3 linked regions of the Mus musculus genome follow. The protein of the gene in region 1 purifies or fractionates together with the protein of each later gene. This does not show direct contact. Links are inferred from orthologs where the notes say so. Each region holds a gene or a part of one and is shown on either strand. Other genes may lie near its edges. The genes, in order: Racgap1, Shcbp1 and Fam98a.

Region 1 (3,652 bases):
AAAGACTTTAGCTAGATTGGCAATATCCATCTTAGTGTCTGGACTCTGAGACACTCTGAATAAAAGATTATATTAAGAAACATTATTCAGGGGAGGTGGGGGGAAAAAAGAAACATATTATTCCTCTTAAATATACACCAAAATATACATTCTAGAAAAAACAACTCACTGTCCACACACTCTTCTCCTTGGAAGATTCCCTAGCTCTCAGACTAAGCATCCGCTGTACTAACCTCTGTAGGTGGATCATAAGGAAGGCTAGCGTGTCCCTGTTGGCCTGGGGCAGCTCACTGACAGCCTGGTACATGGCGGCTGTGCTGTTGTCTTCATCTGTTATCTCTGTGATGACAAGAAAGCATTAAAGGTCCAGGCTCTTCCCTGGACAGCAGCTTCAAGGCTATCGACCACAAAGGCCCACCTATACACGGAGCTTCTGAAACTTCTGATGCGGTTCATGACAGCACCAGACTCTAGTTTCATTAACAGGCAGGACACTGGCCAACAGTTCAATGAGAAGTCAGAACTTCCTAAAACTCAGTTAAGAGAAAGCAGCTGGCAACCCATTTGCTGGGAAGACACACAAGTGCAGTGATAAACCATCAACAATCATAGGACACTTGAGGGCCTACTATGTACCACGTGCTATTTTTAAATGTGAGGATAACGAAACGAAAAGAGGCCTTGTTTAATGGAATAAATACTCTAATCAAAGAGCTGGTCAGGAAATGCAAAAAACAAAACACATGTCAAGCAGTATTCAGGAAAAAAGAAAATGAGCACGTGGAATGCTAAAGTAACAGGGCCTGCTTCTCACAAGATGGCCATAAAGGCGGGTTTTGTGGTTAGTTTTAAAAACTGGGTTCCAGGTAGCTTACTCCAGTCTCAACTCACTATGTAGCCAAAGCTGGTCTCAAACATCCGGCCCTCCTGCCATCCTTCCCAAGCGCTGGACTACCACGTCATGCACCTGGCTTAGGAAACGTGTTTCTAAGGACAAAATGTGTGAAGAGAAACCGGGGAGAGAGAAGTAACACAGTACAGAGATGTCAGGGGAAGCTGCTAGGGATAAGACTGCAGCAAATGGGAAGGACGTGAGGTGGGTGTGTGCTACAAATCCAAGACTCTGGGCTGGAGAGATGGCTCGGCAGTTAAGAGCACTCACTGGCTCTTAACATATACATAAAATATACACATAAAATAAAAAGAAATCCAAGACTCCAGGATTAGAAAAGAGGAAGGAGGGGCATAAAGAAAATGGTGTTGCAGACAATGACCAGGAGCCAAGTCTGCAGGTCTCTTCAACCATGTTAAAGACTGGAGTTAGTCTAAAAATGATGGACAAGCCAGTCCATGGTGGCACATGACTTTAATCCTAGCACTTGGAGGCAGAGGCACGTAGATCTTTGAGTATGAGGCCAGCCTGGGCTACAAAGTGAGTTCCAGGACAGCCAGAACTACACAATGAAACCTTATCTCAAAAAACAAAACAAAACAAAACAATGGTGGACAGAGACAAAAGGGCCACCAGTAACTCTGAGTGTAAAAGGACCACACCAGCACCACACAGATGCTATCATGTAGGGGCACAAGCAGAAACTCGACAATCTGTTAGCAGGTTCTCAACATATTCTGAGGACAGCTGAGTACCAGGACTCGTGACAAATACCAAATTTAAAGTGTATTTACAGGCTGCTAACAAGGTCTGTGGTGGAAAAGAAAGGAATCAAAGCTGGTTCTATTTTCAAAGGGACAACCTAAAACCTGACCAAGAATCAAGACCCACAGTGAGTCCTACGAAGTCTAAGTTAGTTTAATTCTTCCCTTTATTTTATGTGTACACATACGTTGCCAGCATTTATGTGGTGCCTGAGGGGGCAGAAGAGTACAGCAGATCCTTCCGGTCTGGGGTTCCAAATAGTGTGACCCACCCTTGCAGAAGCTACGAATCAAAACCAGACCCTCTGGAAGAGAAGCCAGTGCTCAACCACAGAGCATCTCTTAGCCTCTCTAGTTCAGGGAAGAAACGGCATGATGGGAGGCGAGGACAGTCACTCACCCACCCAACAGTCTGGGTACCTAGGACACTTCAGACACTGCACAGGTGGTGGAAAAATTAGTAAACTGTAAACACAGCTCAGCCCTGGATCGGCTGACGCCACAGTCAAGTTCTGCCTTCACCTGCTGCCTCCATGAAGGCTTTGCTCAGCCAGAAGGTCAGGAGGGGCTCTTTGAGGTTGCGCAGGAAGTCCTTCAGGAGGCTGCAGATGACGTGGATATCGTCCACTTTGCTGAGGAGGGGCACAGTTTTCACCTTAAGGAATTTTTCTTTCAGTTCTTTCACTGTGCGGTCACAGCCTGAGATCCTGTACAAGCCTGCCTGTTATAGAGATGACACTTACTTAGGAACTTCCAAATCACCATCGCAGACCACAAACTCACCGGGCTCAAGCTCCTCACCTCAGTCAGGCCTCGCTGCTCGATCTCATTGACACAGCTGACGACAATGGCAGGGATCATGGGAGAAGCCTGCGACACGAAGTCGGCCAGCATGCCCTGGAAGAAGGGGCTTTGTTATTTACACTGCCGAGACCGAGAGAGAAGGGCTCATGCACAGAGCTGTCACTAAACACTAGCAAAGTGTGTCAGCGTCTGAACTTCTATTCTACAAGTACGTGCTAAAACAGACTCGGGGACTGAGAGGTGGCCGGCAGCTGAAAGCCTGTGCTGTTCGCCAGAGGACCTGGGTTCACTTCCCAGCACCCACATCAGGGGGTTCACAACCACCTGTAACTCCAGCTCCAGGGGACTCTGACATCTCTGGCCTCCAGAGGCACCTAAACTCCTGTGTATATACCCTACTCATACATAGTTTAAATAATAACATTTCTGAAGAGTCTTGGAGGAGTAAGGTGCAGCTCAAGGCCTGACATGAGCATACGCCTGACAGGCATGAGGTCCTGTGGTGGGCGATGCGTGTATCCCAGCACACTGGAGATAGAGGCAGGAGGAGCAGAGTTTGAGGCCATCTACATAGAGCCTTTAGTCACTTCTGTCTTCATGCTGTGGTCTATATAACCACACACACTTTTTTTTTGTTTGTTTGTTTTTTGGTTTTGGTTTTTCGAGACAGGGTTTCTCTCTGTGTAGCCCTGGCTGTCCTGGAACTCACTCTGTAGACCAGGCTGGCCTCGAACTCAGAAATCCACCTGCCTCTGCCTCCCAAGTGCTGGGATTAAAGGCGTGCGCCACCATGCCCGGCTACACTTTTGTGAGCAAGAAAAGTCCTTTTCTTCTACTCGGGACAAGAGAAAGCCAGCCCCGAGGAGCTCACAGCCTAAGCTGGGTGTGGTGGCACAGAGGGAAGCAGATCTCTGAGTCTGGATCCTGAGCTGGAGATCTTTGAGAGCGGATGATCCCAGTATACCCCTTGCCTACTGAAGGTAACAATCTCTTCCCTCTCGAGTCTTGGCTAGGCCTACATTAGCTCTGCACTCAACAAGAAGTAACCACTACTCAGTTTCGTGCTGGCATCTAAAGCCCCGTACAGGAGCGTCAGGGCTGCTCTGTGATATGGTCTGGCAGGGAAAAGCAGCCTGGAGAAGCTCCACAGCTGAGAAGATGATGGACTTACATTTGGAATAACAGTACAGTC
Region 2 (3,198 bases), on another chromosome or scaffold:
TCGGAAGCTAGGGGTTTTTAATAGAAGCAAAGGGTTAGGGGTAAGAGGAATTTTAGCAAAGGTACTGGATTGGCTCATTAAAATATTAACAGAAAGATTATATGTCAGCAAAAAGGGGCATCAGGACTTTGTTCCGGTGGGCTTGGGGCTTATCTTTGTTCACATAACAACCAGTTGATGTATGACTTTACCCGGCGCCAAGGGGTAATAGACAGAAGGGAGGTTCCGGCCAGATGGTGTTGACTCAGACAAGATAGCCCTGCTTGTCCTCGGATTGAGGGGAGGTTCCGGCCAGATGGTGTTGACTCAGATAATATAGCCCTGTTTGTCCTTGCATACCTTTCCATCTTTACTGTCAAGATGTTCTTAGGAATGCCTTAACAACAGCCTTGCCCTGGCATGCCTGGGCCTGTTCTGCTTTGTTCTCAGCCCCAGGCCAGGGCCGCTGGCTCCTAGACAACTCACAAGTTACAATATTTCATCTTCCTTCACTACATCTACAGTCATATTTTATGTTTTTTGTGGCTTTCTTACAAAGGTGTGCTTTGTATGTAATACATATAGATAGAAATAAATCCACATTTCACACAAGCTTAATCAAGTACACTTTATATAATACACAGCCATGAAGCAAATGAAGCAAAGTATATAAGCAGCATACTTAAGACATGTTCAAAATACAGTATTTTGTGAGTATTGATATTATTGTAGCTAGTAAAGAAATGTGCCAAAACTCCCTTTGCCATTCCACTTAAACTGGTTCCCCATAATTTCAATAAACATCTCCTGTGACATTATGTTGTCATCAGCTTGTGTAATCCCAAGTTCACTCAGTCTTTTCTTCATCCGGCCTTTTTGCATGGAAATAGCAAGTAGTTCATTTATAATTTCACAGTTTCCCTTAGCTTGTTCATTAAAGTCAGCTGTGGCATAAGGCTCCATTTTGCTAGCCACACACTGAAGCATTTCTTCCAGATCTAATCCTTCAGTGACATCTGCCTCTTTATTTTTCTGAACCATATTGTCTGAGGAAACAAATTATAATGAAGTTAAACATACAGTTTAAACAAACAAGGAGATATTTCTAATACAGTCTTTTAGATTCAAGTATTTTCTGCCAAGAGTTTATAGAATTTCTTTACTATAAAAATCTCAATGAGTAGCTACTTAGATCTTCTTGCAAAGTTTCATTAATAGGGTCATTAATTTTAAACTTTGTTTACCTTCTTCATCCTAAAATCTCAGTCACTGGACAGATATGTTCCTAGATATTTACTATCTGCTAAGCTATGTACTGGGAGCTAGTTGTTAAACTCACAATCTACTAGCTAGTTCCCATCCTCAAGAGTTGTACTCTCAGCCAGGCGTGGTGGCGCATGCCTTTAATCCCAGCACTTGGAAGGCAGAGGTAGGTGGATTTCTGAGTTTGAGGCCAGCCTGGTCTACAGAGTTCCAGGACAGCCAGGGCTACACAGCGAAACCCTGTCTTGTAAAACCAAATTAAAAAAAAAAAAAAAAAAAAGAAAGAAAAAAAGAGTTGTACTCTCATGCTGGTGGCCTGCCCTGGCCTCCTGGGGTTTGGAGTTGAGGTGGAACACAGAGTTGGATGATCTCCAGCTCTGTAACTCTGGGGGCTAGAAGCTGATGGCTTCTGCAAACTTAACACTCTCTTGCTTATTTTCTGGATGAAAACCACTGGCTTCCTTTTGCTCTAACTCTCTGTGCTTGAACAAGTGCTGGGCAATTATGAAAAGGATTTATTGCTAGTGCTTTTGTCTCTGGCCAGTCAGCTAAGAAGCCTCTCACTGGCCAGAAAGCTCATTACGTCTTTTTGAACCAGAGAGAGAAGAACGGAAAGGAAAAAAGCCACTCACACAGACAACACACACACCAGGTGAGGTGGAAACTAGTTACACCATCTGTCTTTATTACTTTCAGCTTTTTTTTTTTCATAGCTTTTTAGACAAAAAGTTCTCTATGTAAGAATTACCTCATAGATAAAATGTTACATGAAAGGGGAGTTACAGAGAAGTATTAATAATAAGTACAAAGCACTGTTTCACATTGTAAGCTCATTATAAGTTCAACGCAAAAGTCTTTACATGGCCTTGCCTTATCATAGTGCACACTTGTGGCTTCATCCTTGCACCTGAATGTTTTTGCTTTAACACAAATTTCTCCCAAGCATATATGGTTTTTTAGTGTAATTATAAAAGCTCATTGTATTGCTTATTATGTAGCTCTTACTTACTATTTATGAGAAGTGGGCATATTTCATTCTTGATTCTAATTTTATTACATATTTCTAGTAAAACAAATAAAACCATCTTAAAACTTTCTTCCTAAGATTATTTGAATCAAATCAGGAATTCTATCATTAATTCATCTAAACAGCAATTATGAAAGTTCGCCTTTATGTTGATCTGCAGGAAATCTGCTCAACAGTGGTAGGTTAATGCCCAGGAATCCTTAGGCTATATAATAGTGACAGGAAAGGTATAGCAGCTGCAAGAAGCAATCCTGAGATGAAGTGCCTAGGGACCTTGCCTCTCAGAGCTCACCCATGCAAAAATGGTGGGTCACCTTGAGAAAGGTCATCTGCTAGCCTTAGCCTTTCCTAGATAGCTCCTGACACTCTCATGATTGCTAAATGCAAAAATATTTTGTTATTATCTTCCAATGTTATTATTATCTTCTAATGTGATTAAGCCTATCTAGGCAAGTTTTTTGTTTTTGTTTTTCCTAGCTGGCTGCAGAAGATTCAAAGCATAAGCTTGAATCTGTGTATCTTAATCAATGGGGCTACAGAATGATTCCAGCCAAGCTTAGTCCTAAGATCTATACCACGGACTCTGCAGACGAATGACACGAGTAGCATTGGGTGTAGATTCGTCCTCCAGAGCTTAAAAGGTAAGGGCCTCTTCCACATGCATCTCAGCTGTTCTTTGTTCTGTCCTGACTGGAAGGGCTCCTGAAGGATGACAAGGCCTATTCTTCAAACCACTTCAAATTTCCACAGCCATACTAGTACTTTTTACTTCTTTAGGTCTTATATTTAAAAGTGATTTACACATCAGTGGCTTGAGATTTACAAATTTCCACTGTGTGTGCTTTCCTTTTCTGTCAGGAAAAGTGGTAACTGAGAGAAACTTTTCATTTACCAATGAAAAGTAAACGCAAAAGAAACTTCAAACTTAG
Region 3 (3,752 bases), on another chromosome or scaffold:
GTCTACAGAGTGAGTTCCAGCACAGCCAGGGCTACACAGAGAAACCTGTCTTGAAAAAAAAGATAGTATTCAACTGTAATTTTTGAGCAAATTGTTTAAAAATACACAGCAATCAACTAATGGTGACTTTTAATAATATTTAAATGTAACCACACTAAGTTAAAATTAATTATAAACTTTCATTAAAAACTCTAGGGTTTATATTACAATGCAACCTAACTATTTACTTGAGGGCAATTGTTGCAGGGATAATTAGTTGTAGTAAGCCAGACAAGAAAACATCATTAGGATAAAGGAACAGTAATGGAAGCAAGCTCTTCCACTGCAGCCAGTCAGCTGATCTTCACCTGCACGGAATATCCCAGAACTCTTCTGGTTCTACTCCTGCAACACTACCTTTTCAAGGGAAGAGACCCTCCTCGGGGCTTTTCATTGTATGCTTCTCAGAGCTTCCACGTGAACTTATACCCTGAGGAAAACCCCACACTGGCACAGAGCAAGTGTCCCTTAAAAAATGTTTACTGGCCGGGTGTGGTGGCGCACACCTTTAATCCCAGCACTCGGGAGGCAGAGGCAGGCGGATTTCTGAGTTCGAGGCCAGCCTGGTCTACAGAGTGAGTTCCAGGACAGCCAGGACTATACAGAGAAACCTTGTCTCGAAAAACAAAACACACACACACACACACACACAAAAAAAATGTTTACTGAGTAAGCGAATCATCTTTAGACACCCGTTGAAAAGCACCCGTTCCACAGAATAAGGCTTACGTGTGGCCCATTGCAAGAACTAAGTTGGCCAAGTCTGGGCTATGCACAAAATGTGATTCAAAGAAATGACCACAGCGGCTGATGTTCACAGCGATGGTTAGTAAGCTTCCTTTATGGTCAGTACCTACTAGGACACCAAGCTAGTCACATGGGTTGCGCTTTGGCTACCTCAAAGGTGTCCTTCCCTAAAGAAAGGTGTCCCTTAAGAATTTCCATGGCATGGAAAAGCCTAAAGTTAAGCTTTGATTAAGGATTATAGTTAAAAATACAACAATCGGCAGGGCATGGGGGCTCACTCCTTTAATCATAGCTCTCAGGTGCCAGAGGCAGGAGGACCTCGGTGCGTCATTTCTTCTACGCTGATTTTATCCTGAAATAGTTATTCGCAGGCAAATACTTAATCATGCAGGGCTTTTTTTTTTTTTTTTTTTTTTTTTTTTTTTTTTTTTTTTTGCCTAAGAGCCTCTAGGTTCTCAAGTTTAAGCACCTTGATCTGGGTGACCAAACAAGATAAATAAGCCTTATTTCCAAATTCCTAAACACTGAAGACTATGACTGAGAGTCAAGATGCAAATATGCTGATTCTTGGTGGGTGAGGATGACCCTGGAATGCTGGAGTTCAGCGAGGCTGTGCTGGAGGTCTGAAGTCACTGACTGTCATTTCCAAAGCAGGTGGTTGAAAGGTTAGGTGCACAGCTGAGCGGGCTTGAGAGCAGCCGGCTGCATCGCCCAGACGTGCGCTTTGGGAAGCCTAGGTGCATGCAGAGATGACTGAGCAAAGATGATTTTTTTTTTTTTTTGAGAGAGAGAGAGACAGAGAAGTAGGGTGGGGGGTAGAAGCTCAAGAAAGAAGTAGGGAATCTTGGGGCCAAGTAGGAAAGCAGATACAACTTTGGCAAACCATAAAGTGGGGGTAGGGTGGGAGGACGGGAGGCAAGAAGAGAAAGCTTGGGGAGTGGGGGGGTGGTGAGAACCGGAGCCCAGACAATGACACGCATGACTGAGACACGCTGCGGGTAGCTGGGCTGTAGGGGAGCACCGGGGAGGACGAGGGCCGTCGGAGCCCAGTGGGCAGGGTAGGTGTGGACGTGGCACCGGGGGTCCCTGGGCCAGCAGCGGGAAGCTCCGGCGGGAGTCGGGTGCGGAGTGGCAAGGCAGGTGGCTCCGACCGGGCGCCCGAGGAGTTGCCGGGGCTCTAGCAGAGTGGACTTTCAGAAACTCATGCCCCCGCCGTCTTACCCTAGATCTTCCAACGACTCCAAGATGTCAGTCTCCATGAGGTCACACTCCATGCTACTGTGGTATTCAAATTTCCGAGTCGTCAGGCTGCCCTCTCGCCGGCAACGCGTACCCTAGCGCATGCGCTCCTTCCCCGGAACTTCCAAGTCGACAGCTGGCGCCTCAGTCCCCGTATTGCGCATGCCCCGAGCGTGCGCAAGCAGTTTGGTTCCGCCCACTGCCCCCACCTCACCGGCCGAGGAAAAAAAAATGGCCGGGTGTGCGCGTGCCCAGTATGGGGTAGTGAAGCTAGCTGCCCTAAGAAGGGCAGGAAGGCAGGTGGCGTGGCACCGAGGCTGGGAGACTCAGAGACTCAGCCAGGGGGCGCGGAGCTCTTGGAATGCGCATGTGCACAGCTTGGGGCGAGGCAGGCGCGGGAGGAGCAGAAGCAGGATCCAGCCTGGGATTGTAGAGTGACAGCTGTGGTATTGAAGATGCGTGTCCTCCTTTCACCTGCGAGTCACCACAGAAGGGCAAATTTGTGCGTTCCCAGCCACAGCCCAGGGCGGGGTTAGACGGGTCAAAAACAATGAAAGCCAGGAAAATGCCATTTGATTTTTCTTCAGTGTAGCCTCTGGAGTCCACGGTTAGAGAAGTGGCTTTCCTCAGTATGGATGCTTCAGAAAGTTTCTCCAGGGAAAGTTTTTTTTTTTTTTTTTGTCCCTGTCCTCTTGAGTCTGCCCCAGACACCACGCATTTTGTTTTAACGGGAAAGGGCATAACTCCATATCGAATACAATAGGGTATATTTGATTACATGCAGTTTAGACAATGGATCAACTTTTTGTCTCCGTTGACTTTTTTTTTTTTTTTTTTAATACAGGGTTTTATAGAGCCATGGATGGCCTGGAACTCACTATGCAGACCAGGCTGGCTGTGAACTCACAGAGCTCCACCTACCTTTGCCTTCCCAGTGCTGAGATTAAAGGCATCTGCTACCATGCTCAGTGTTGTCATTACTTTTGGCCACCCATGCTTGGGTGTAGCTTTCTATTATGAAAGAACTGTTGAATAAGGAGGAAATCGTTTTCAAAGAGATGATGTAGTTAGAAAATCATATTTATCTATGAATTGCCATGTTGTTATATTGTGTAGTCATTTGGTTTTAAACTTATTCTTACGTTTTATTTTGTAGTTTCCACTTTCATGTCTAATGGATAAGCATTCTCTGTCAGTAGTAATTCATGGTTTAGTTATTTATTTTGTGTAACATGGGTTGGGAGAAGGTTATGCACTAACTGTTCTAGTGACTATCCTCTTGACCCATGAGCGACCTGGCTTCTCCAAGAAAGCTCCCCTAAAGTTAAATATTCTTCAAGGTGTATTCATTGATTCTAATTTCCTGATTGGGAAAAGTTGCAAATCCAGAGCCAAGGTTCTGTCAGACTGTCATTAGTCCCCTTAAGAGCCCACCCTGGCCCATCCTGTGTGACCTAACCTCATTTTGGCTATCAGGTAAAACTTTTGGGATGTGTAAACATCCAAATTAGCTTCTGCCTACTCAAAGCCACAAGTGTCATCAGATAACAGCTAAGTTCTCTCCACATCACTGTAAACTTCTCACCTGCTGTCCCCACCAATATATCTGAAGAAATAATCCCTTGACTTATGAGTTGGTATTGTGTAACTATACAGACAGTGGAACCAGTTCTGTGTTGGCACATGTTATGTGGGGCAGTCTGAGTCTGTACCTGGGTCATGGTCAC

The links.
Region 2: the proteins of Racgap1 (region 1) and Shcbp1 purify together in Homo sapiens (affinity purification with mass spectrometry; 8 studies listed by BioGRID and IntAct, counting the BioPlex papers as one, with this or other methods). This does not show direct contact. The link is inferred for Mus musculus from reciprocal best matches to the Homo sapiens genes RACGAP1 and SHCBP1.
Region 3: the proteins of Racgap1 (region 1) and Fam98a purify together in Homo sapiens (co-immunoprecipitation; 3 studies listed by BioGRID and IntAct, with this or other methods). This does not show direct contact. The link is inferred for Mus musculus from reciprocal best matches to the Homo sapiens genes RACGAP1 and FAM98A.

Annotation. Positions count from the first base shown.
Region 1 is NC_000081.6:99,624,005-99,627,656, forward strand, and holds part of Racgap1 (rac GTPase-activating protein 1), read right to left. Parts: intron 2,554-3,652; coding exon 2,458-2,553; intron 2,378-2,457; coding exon 2,179-2,377; intron 340-2,178; coding exon 234-339; intron 56-233; coding exon 1-55.
Region 2 is NC_000074.6:4,735,383-4,738,580, forward strand, and holds the end of Shcbp1 (SHC SH2 domain-binding protein 1), read right to left. Parts: intron 1,026-3,198; coding exon 712-1,025; 3' UTR 594-711; downstream 1-593. UniProt on the Homo sapiens protein: May play a role in signaling pathways governing cellular proliferation, cell growth and differentiation. May be a component of a novel signaling pathway downstream of Shc. Acts as a positive regulator of FGF signaling in neural progenitor cells.
Region 3 is NC_000083.6:75,549,734-75,553,485, forward strand, and holds the start of Fam98a (protein FAM98A), read right to left. Parts: upstream 2,214-3,752; 5' UTR 2,061-2,213; coding exon 2,008-2,060; intron 1-2,007. UniProt on the Homo sapiens protein: Positively stimulates PRMT1-induced protein arginine methylation. Involved in skeletal homeostasis. Positively regulates lysosome peripheral distribution and ruffled border formation in osteoclasts.